2 linked regions of the Oryctolagus cuniculus genome follow. The protein of the gene in region 1 purifies or fractionates together with the protein of each later gene. This does not show direct contact. Links are inferred from orthologs where the notes say so. Each region holds a gene or a part of one and is shown on either strand. Other genes may lie near its edges.

The links.
Region 2: the proteins of TNIK (region 1) and NCK1 purify together in Homo sapiens (affinity purification with mass spectrometry; 3 studies listed by BioGRID and IntAct, with this or other methods). This does not show direct contact. The link is inferred for Oryctolagus cuniculus from reciprocal best matches to the Homo sapiens genes TNIK and NCK1.

What each region holds. Positions count from the first base shown.
Region 1 is NC_091435.1:108,838,487-108,842,837, forward strand, and holds the start of TNIK (TRAF2 and NCK-interacting protein kinase), read left to right. Parts: upstream 1-1,383; 5' UTR 1,384-1,786; coding exon 1,787-1,843; intron 1,844-4,351. UniProt on the Homo sapiens protein: Serine/threonine kinase that acts as an essential activator of the Wnt signaling pathway. Recruited to promoters of Wnt target genes and required to activate their expression. May act by phosphorylating TCF4/TCF7L2.
Region 2 is NC_091435.1:144,688,857-144,693,441, reverse strand, and holds the start of NCK1 (SH2/SH3 adapter protein NCK1), read left to right. Parts: upstream 1-1,578; 5' UTR 1,579-1,808; coding exon 1,809-2,061; intron 2,062-4,585. UniProt on the Homo sapiens protein: Adapter protein which associates with tyrosine-phosphorylated growth factor receptors, such as KDR and PDGFRB, or their cellular substrates. Maintains low levels of EIF2S1 phosphorylation by promoting its dephosphorylation by PP1.

The sequences.
Region 1 (4,351 bases):
ACGTATAACGTTAAAAAGCCAAAGCACCCAAACCGTTGCGATATTGAGTCCATTTGCAGGTTTCAGGGTGTATGATCCACAAGGCACTTCATCAGCACAGTATTATGAACACACACAGTGAAGCGTACACCGACTGTTGTTTCAAAGTCCTCTGATGCATGCAGGCAGGCGAGATGCACTAGCTGCACTGGTTTGCTTTCATTCATTCATTCATTCATTCGCCTTATTCTGAGGCTCATATTCACACTACATGACTTAGAATGGCTCAGCGCACTTGGCCAGAAGCGAATTCCTGCCTTAACAGAGGGGCTAGGAACGCTCGCGACGCCTCTGCTGTACTTAAAGGGGGCGGGGGAAAGCAAGTCAGTTTTCAACGATTTCTTGCGATGCATTTCCCGTGGCTCGGGCCGGAGAGGAAGGCTGCGCGGCGAGGGAGGCGATTTGGCACTCCCGATGACAGAATGTCACGTTCGCCACCGTAAACATCCCACCTCTGAACGAGAAAGTGGGTGCGGTGAACGCGCGCTCGCCAGCCCATCTGGCATCTCATCCGCGGGTCAAACTTTCGCCATCCACTGGGGTGGATCCCCGCGGAAACGCGGCCGGGAAGAGAAACGCCGTGGCCGCGGGCGGCGAGCTTGGCTTAAGCAGCATTGGCTTTGGAGTTACCTGATGGCTTGGAAGCTATTGCGCCCGGAGAACGAGCTTCTACGTTCCGATTCGTGGGGAACTGCGGCACGAGCTGGTCCTGGGTGTGGCGATCCGAAAGGGAGCTCTGATTCCCTAGCTTTCCCGCAGAGGGACCGGCAACTTGGGACCGGCGCAGTCCGGCATATCGGTTACTGCGGGTGGACCCGACCCCCGGGCCGCTGCAGATTACAGAAGCGCCAGGCCGGACGCGCCGTGCGTGCGCGCTTCTCCCGGGCTCGTTCCACGCCTGGAGGCGGATCCCCTTCCCTGCACACAAGTCCTTATATGCACCGGTTGCACCAGCCCGCCTTACTCGAGCCCCACAAATAATTAATGGGGGAGGGAGGGCGTCGCTGTCTTTTTCTTTTCCCCTTTCTGCGCCCCCCCAGCTCTAGAGCATTTGAATCCCACCGAGAAAACCCAAGAGGCGAGGAAAGAGCCATTTTGCTGCAATGCCCGAGTTGGACACACAAAAAAAGAGCTTGAGCCCCCGCGATAAGCCCGGCAAGGGTCAGGGACTGCCCCGCCGATCCGCCCCGATTAGCCCGCAGGAGCCTGGGCGGGAGGGTGCGCGCCCCTCCCCCATCCACGCTGGTGTCGAGGGACCGGGTCAGGAAGCGCGGCCTCTCCCCAGTCGGAGACCACGCCTCCTCCGCCTCCCCCCTTTACTCCTCCCAGGAAGCGGTGATAGACAGTTCTGTGTGGTTCTCCACCCCCACCCCCCAGCTGAGTGGAGGAGTTGATGTGTCTCATTATAACAGCCAATGCAGCCGCCATCCACGCACAAGCAAAGAAGCATGTCCCATTTAAATACACCCACGCAGCTCCAGCGCCCTTAGCCGATCGGGGCGCGCAGCCCACACGCACCGCGGCTCCGGGCTTGGAGATCCGCGCAGGTTGGGCTCCCGGACCCGGCGGACCGGCGCACGGAGGCTTGAGATCGGGCGCTGAGGGGCCGGGGTGGGCGGGGGAGGCTGGGCCCGGGGCCTCTGGCTCGACACCCGCAGGAGGACGCGAGTGAAACAGACCAAGGTGGAATTTCCAAGGGAGAAGCTTTGGGGTGGCTTTGGTCCATTTCTCGGGCGAAGAAGTAGACATGGCGAGCGACTCCCCGGCTCGCAGCCTGGATGAAATCGATCTCTCGGCTCTGAGGGTGAGCAGAACGCGTTTTTCGCATTTCTTCCCAGGGGTTTGGGTCCGGGGGGCGGGGTTGGGGTGGGTGGGTGGGGGAGAATGGGGTCGGTGTGTGGTCTGGGGGCTGACGGGCAGCTGCGGGAGAATGCGACGGGGACCGACCCCGGATTCGCGCTTGGATTCGGGGTTGCCGAGGCGCTCCGGGCTGAGCCTCTATGGCAAGGGTTGTGCGGAACGTGTCCCCCCCGTTGGCTGTGGCCGACGATCCCCCGAAACTGCTTGTGGAGCTTATGGCAGTTTCATCTTAGAGCAGTGTAAGAGCATTAGAACGCGAGCCTCTGTGTGTGTGTGTGTGCGCGCGTGTGTGCGTGTGTGAGCGCGCGCGCGCGTGTGTGCACGCTCCGGGCGGTCGTCTCGTGCCAGGGCGCGGGACCCGACTGTCCCTTGCTGCAGAAACTAGAGCAGCGCGCATACAGGCGCTGGCCCCTCACGTTCGCCAGCTACCTGCGAGATGACACCGTGAGCCTGGCCGGCCCGGCGAGGCCGAGCCTGCTGCTCCACGGGGGCAGTTATTGCTATGCGGGTCTCATAGATGGCAGCGGCCGCCCCTTCCCCCCGCCCCCGCCTGGCGCGCCCGGGCTCCGGCTCCGCGCCTCCTTCCACGCCAGCCTGCCACTCACCTTTATTTATGGCTTTAACCCAGCCCTGCCTGTGCTTTCCGACTTTGTGGCTGTGGCATGTCAGCTTTATGGCTGAACTTGGGCAGGTGAAAGGGATGGGTTTGCCGCTGTTCGCAGTCGGACCGGAACTCCCTGGAGTGTGTGTGTTTTCCCCGCGTCTGCGGCCGGTCCTTTGTGGAGCACCTCCCTCCCGCAGCCCGCGGCTTGGCGTTGAACCTCCGCGTGCATTACCTCAGACGCCGTGGCATGCTGTCGACTGAGATATCGGCGATATAGAATCCATTTTGCTGTTGTTTGGAGACCACAGTTCCAGGGCAGCCTCGACGCCTCCCCCTCCCCAACCCCCAATCTCAGCATACTCCTGGGGGGGAGGGGAGGGGAGCAGAGCTTTCTTCTTGCCATTTTAATTAGATGCTGCGGGCCAGGGAGGGGTGAGGGGTGGGTGGGAAGCTGCTGGCAATCGAGGGGGCCTGAGAAGGATTGGACGCCCATTTAAGGTCCGTTTGTTCGTCTTGCGAACCAAAAATACAATTGGAGAAGAATAGCAAGTGCACGTACTTGCGTGGCCAGATAGGGTCAGGCGTGCAAGTTCACACGCCCTCCTGAGGAACACATTGTTAGGTGGATGCTACATCTCCGGCCAGGTACCTGAATCCCTAGTACGTCGGACATGGCCTCTTCCAACACGGGTATTTTTGAGTTCCCTCTGTGATCAAAGTGGCACTTTGGTCTCCTTGTCCCTCCCTTTCCCTACCTCTTCCCCTCCCCCCTCCTGTCCCCCGAGTCCCTGAGGTGAGGTTTCAGGGGGATGCTCTTGGAAACAGGCTGTAGCGGTAGTTAGGCAGCCACAGCTCGGGCATGCATTAGTGCACTCAGCTGCCTCTCTGGAGCTGAGAAGCCACAGGCAGGGCTTTCTGCCCCTTGGGCTGTGGGGGTGGGGACCGGGAACCGGGTGGGTGCTTGGACCCGGGCTGTGGCTTCCTGCTTTGCGGACTGTGTGTTCTGTTCCTTTGCCCTACTTTCTGCACTGGGAGTTGCTGCCAGCGAGTTAATCAGGTGGATGAATGAGGAGACCCTGGGAGGGGCCCGCCGCAAAGGAGAAAGGCATCTGAACAATGGGCCAGGCTGGGGAGCCCAAATCTTGACATTGCTCTCCTAATGGAAAATGCTCTGCTGGGATTTGAAGTTGGGTTCGGATTTGTTTCCTAGTGAAGGTTTTCTGAGATCCTGAGCCCTCCAGCTCGGAGCCTGCGGGCGTGGGAGCCACTATGAGGGCTCCCCCCGGGGGCTGATTCGCAGGGCCCCTCATACTCTGGGGAGACCCGTGCAGGTGCAATTTGGCTTCGAAAAGGAGAATTTTGCATGATTTACTGAAATTGCTCTTTGTGGCCTGGACAGCCAGCTTAGTGCTCTCTGCTTCTGTTTTTCTGCCTGCCGGAGGTATGGAAAGAGGGAGGGGAGCAGCTCCGGCTAGTGACTGGGGAGCTGCTGGCCACAGGAAGTGAATGCACAGGTGGAGACAGCTGCATCCCCAGAGGATGGGGGTCTTTGGCCAGCCTTGGGGTGGCTGAGGGGTGCGGGCCAGACTGGGTCCAGAGGCTGCAGAGGTCATCGCCACAAATCAGAGTGCAGATCAGCTCTGCCTTCCCAAATTGAGAGAGGTGGGCTCATGGACAGAAGTCTCACTTGCTCCTCTGCTCTTAGGAAAGCCTGCCTGCTGAGCGCTCCCTGGGGAATGCCTGACCCCTGAAATGCAACCAAGGTCAGTGGCTTCTAGGAGAATTTGCTGCAGCTTTACCAGTCTTTGGCTGTTTCTGTGGCTCTTTAATGTACACAATTCAAGGCTC
Region 2 (4,585 bases), about 36 Mb from region 1:
CTTTGTCTTAATGTAGAAGGAAAGTAAAATTTCTCCTTACAGTGATAGTTTGGGAAAAATGTAGCATTATTGACAAGTATGAAATATAATTGATGTGCTTGTTGTTGATATTATTGTTACTCTAGAAATTTATCAGCAATAAAAGACAAGTACTGTTTTTAACTATCAGAAAACATCAAAAACTAAAATATAGTGTACTTCCCAGTAGTAAATAAAGTATTAGAATATTAGTTTCTGAGCTAAAGCATTTACATTGTTTTAAAGATAAATTGGTAGTTGTTGCTGTGCCGTTTAACTGTTGGGATAATGTTTTTTTAGATTCTAATTTTTTTGCAAACAGGACCATTAGTTTTTTTTTTTGTTTTCTTCCTTTTTTTTTTTTTTTTTTTTTTTTGACAGGCAGAGTGGACAGTGAGAGAGAGAGAAAGAGAAAGGTCTTCCTTTTCTGTGGGTTCACCCAACAATGGCCGCTGCGGCCGGCGCACCGGGCTCATCCCAAGGCAGAAGCCAGGTGCTTCTCCTGGTCTCCCATGGGGTGCAGGGCCCAAGTACTTGGGCCATCCTCCACTACACTCCCAGGCCACAGCAGAGAGCTGGCCTGGAAGAGGGGCAACCAGGACAGAATCTGGCGCCCCGACCGAGACTAGAACCCGGAGTGCTGGCGTTGCAGGTGGATGATTAGCCTGTTGAGCCGCGGCACCAGCCAGGACCATTAGTTTTTAAATGGAAGGCAAATCAGAATGTGATTTTCTTTACATAGTTGAAGAGACCAGTGTTAGAACCAAGAATACTTCTGGTTTTGTAAATACTGAACATTTATTGAAAGCATGTTGATGAAAAGTATTGAAGGAGAGCAAGGTAACTTCTTTCAAGAAAGTATAACTCATAGTGATGAATGCACAGAGAATACTAGACATATCTATATAGAGTTTTTGTTCCTTTTTAGTTTGTTTTTAAAAATTTATTTGCAAGGCAGAGAAAAAGACACAAGAGAAAGAGATCACCAATTAGCTGGTTCACTGCTTACACTTCACTCCTCATTGTGAACAGAACCCTGCTGAAGCTGGGAGCCAGGAACTCGTTCTGGGTTTCCCATGTGGGTGGCAGGGTCCTTTACCCATTACTTGCTGCCTCCTAGAGTATACAGAAGCAGAGCTGAGACTCAAACCCAGGTACTCTGATAAGGGATGCTGGTGTCGCAAATAACTGCTATTCCAAACCACTGCCCCTGTTTGTTTTTAATAGGATCCTGGTGTCTGGAATTAGAGAGATGTGATAGTAGTTACAAAAGATAGTGAAAAACTATTATCTTAGAGCAAACAGGACAAATATGCCAGTTTTAGTTATTGTATATAAATCTGAAAGTTAATTAGAATTAATTTTTATTAATATTACTAGGAAATTTTCCATATTTTCTGATATTATTGAGACAGTTTTAGCAAGGTTTATAATTCTGTAAGATTTAAGAAATCGCTGTTAACTTTATTACAATATGATGGTTATTACTACCTTTATTTCTGGGTGCTTGGAAATATTGGTAGTATATAGTTACATAGTATAATGATGTAAATCCAACTTATGCATTGGATAACCTTCTTTTCTTTAGCATTTCTGTGTCTCTTTTTGGTAACTCAAATGTCTTATTTAATGGGTTTGTTTCACAGTGATTGTGCTGGTGGAGACATTGTTTGAAAGTTTAGGAAAAGGAAAAATGAATGCAATAGTATATTTTTAAGTGTTAGAAAATGTATAGGCTTTAAAACTCCTTCTAAAGTAAGTGTGAAGAATAGGTTACTTTTTTGACCATTATGATTTACTTATTTTACAGATTCTGTTATAGTTTATGGGGAAAAAAGTTTTGGAAAGAGAAGCTTCAGAAAAGCTTTCTGTTGCTTGGGTGTGGGCCAGGTCACATGGATTGGGTGTGGGAAGTTTCAGTGTTGCAGAACAGACCAGGAAGCTCCCTGAGAATTATCCTGAGCTGTGTTAACAAGCTTACAAAAGAGAACACAGAATTTGTATTCAAAATGGAATGGTTAAACGTCTTTAAAGATTTTTTCAGTAAGTTAATCTGTTTATTAAATCTGTAGTTTTCTTGTTACAGTTTTTGGATTAGATTTTTCCTTTTTGTGAATTTAAAGGGAAACCGTAGAGAGAACTTGTTCGGTTTTTATAAGCTGGTACTTTTGTGTTGTTTCATACAAGCTAAATTATTGATCATGTATCAAATAACATTAGTTTAACTGCGTAAGATAATTTTTAAATATTTGAGTATGATATTTAAATAACATATAAGGAAAGGATAAAAATGCTTGGGTTTCATACAGTTCTAGTTCAATAATTTTCAGCTTAGCACAAACATTGACGTGAAATCAATGGTAAACAATTAAAAATAATTAGGTGAGCAAACTCCATATTTGACTTCTGAGTTAACATGATATTGCTTTACTACTTTTCACTTACAGTAACAGTATAAAGAATGATATTTAATGGAAAGTGCTAGTAAAATACTGAAGAATTTAATATTAAAAGAGTGTAATCCATATGTCTATTGATGACTTTTTATGATCTTATGATAATGAGTTTGATTTGATCTTGAGTATTGGTGTTTCTAGAAAAATGAGCAGAGGAATTATTGTGCAAGATTTTTATGTACGAAGAGCCTGAGAAGCAAGAGTTACCTGGTGAGAGATTACAGAGAAAAGCACAAAACAAAAAAAGAGTAACCACTTTCTCTAAAAAACAAACAAAAAGTGACTACAATGTGAAGATTTATTTAGTTAGTTAGCTGTGGTGTCTAAGTGAGTCCCTCTGGAATATGTCTCTTAACTTCAGTTTACTTTTTGAAGTGTTATTAAGTCAGATCTTTGCATTTCCATTTTTTGAATGATCTTTCCTTTTAGAGATTTATTGGTTTATTTATTCATTTGCTGATGAGCCATTTTTCATTGAGTGCCTACTATAAGCGAAGATCAGAGTAATAAAAAAAGAGGGTGAAAAGAATGTTGTATCACCAATACAGAGATTCAATATATTTCATCTTAACAATGCAATGATAAAATTAACATTTTCTCTACTGATCTTATGGAATTGGTAGTTAACCTTAAGTACATTTTTATACTGAGGTTCAGGATTTGAGATTTGTAGCCATATCATTCCTTTCTTGAGTTCTTGCAACACATTGAAGTTTATACATCTCTTGCCAGGTAGCTCATCAGGAGAGACAAGGCTAGGCTATTTATCAATCTACTCCTCAAATGGACTTAAAAAAATAGAGAAAAAAAGGATATGGTGCATCTTGTGTAATAGCCAGAATACCCTTGAAAACAAAATTGCTCAATGTTTTAGATAAAATAATAAAAAAATAATATGTGTGGATGAAATAAACAGGTGAAAATACAAAAATTCAAATAACCCATGATGGAAAGAATACCATATATTTGGTTTTAGAATTCCTTAGTTCTGTTTTCTGATATACTATTAACCAGCGTTATGACCTAGGGTATATAATTAAAGCTTCCTGATTTTCTGAGAGTTGAGTAAGACTAGACGATCCTGGAAAGTCCCTTCTAACTCTAAAAGTTTTATGGTCCTGGTGAAAATAGATGGTCATGTGTATGTCCTAAGAGTTGGGGGAATCTGTTAGGGAGAAATTGGTTTTGAGGAAGCACATAAGAGCAGAAGTATTGTTCAATAAGCAATTAGAAGAAGTAGTAATACTTTCTTGGTGCTCATTCTGCTTTCTATTATTCAGTCATTCAGATGAAGGGGAAATGACATGCCTAAAAAGTAGGGAAGACTAATACTGGAAAATTTAACATACATTAGATTCACAGAATATTTGAAAATTTAAAATCAAGATATAAATAAGATGTATAGGAACTGGCAGTAATATAAAATGTTGCATGAAGTTTTTAAAGAAGTTGAAAAAAATGCTGAGAACTTATCTTGGCAACAGTTGATATGAGTGAAAGACTGAGGAAGAGCTGCTGGGTAATGTAGGTGGGGAAGTCTCGCACAGTCCATGGTGGCATTGGTTCAAGTTTGTGGGATGCTCAAGTGAAGGGATGCAGTAAGCTCCCTTTTGTATGTGCTGGGGCCAGATAAACTATGATGTAGTTATTCACTTTGGATAGATACCCTTTAATGATGATATTGAGACACTCAAATGCTTCCAAACACGGACATCCAGTATATCAAGGATTTGCAAGCCAAGTTGCATAAAGAATAGTTATGGGTACTGAGATTGTGTCAGGAAGAGGACAGATATCACACAAAGACAGAATGTTCAGAATGCTTGATCATGTTCTTAAACTTTTGAGAAGTTTAATAATGCATTATTTTGCTTAAAATGTAGTGCTGTAGGAAGAGAAGTGTAAAACCAGTGGAGATGAGAAGATTGAAAGTTGTACTAACTCTTCTGGAACAAAGCTAATGTCTGCCTCAGAGTTGTATACTTCCTCAGTGCTTAGATCTGAGAATTTCTCTCTTAACTCCACAGTCAGATCCAACTATATAATAACAAAGGTTCAGGTAATTAAATTGAATACCAGAAGCACTAAGAGGTAGGAAAGTAACAACTGCC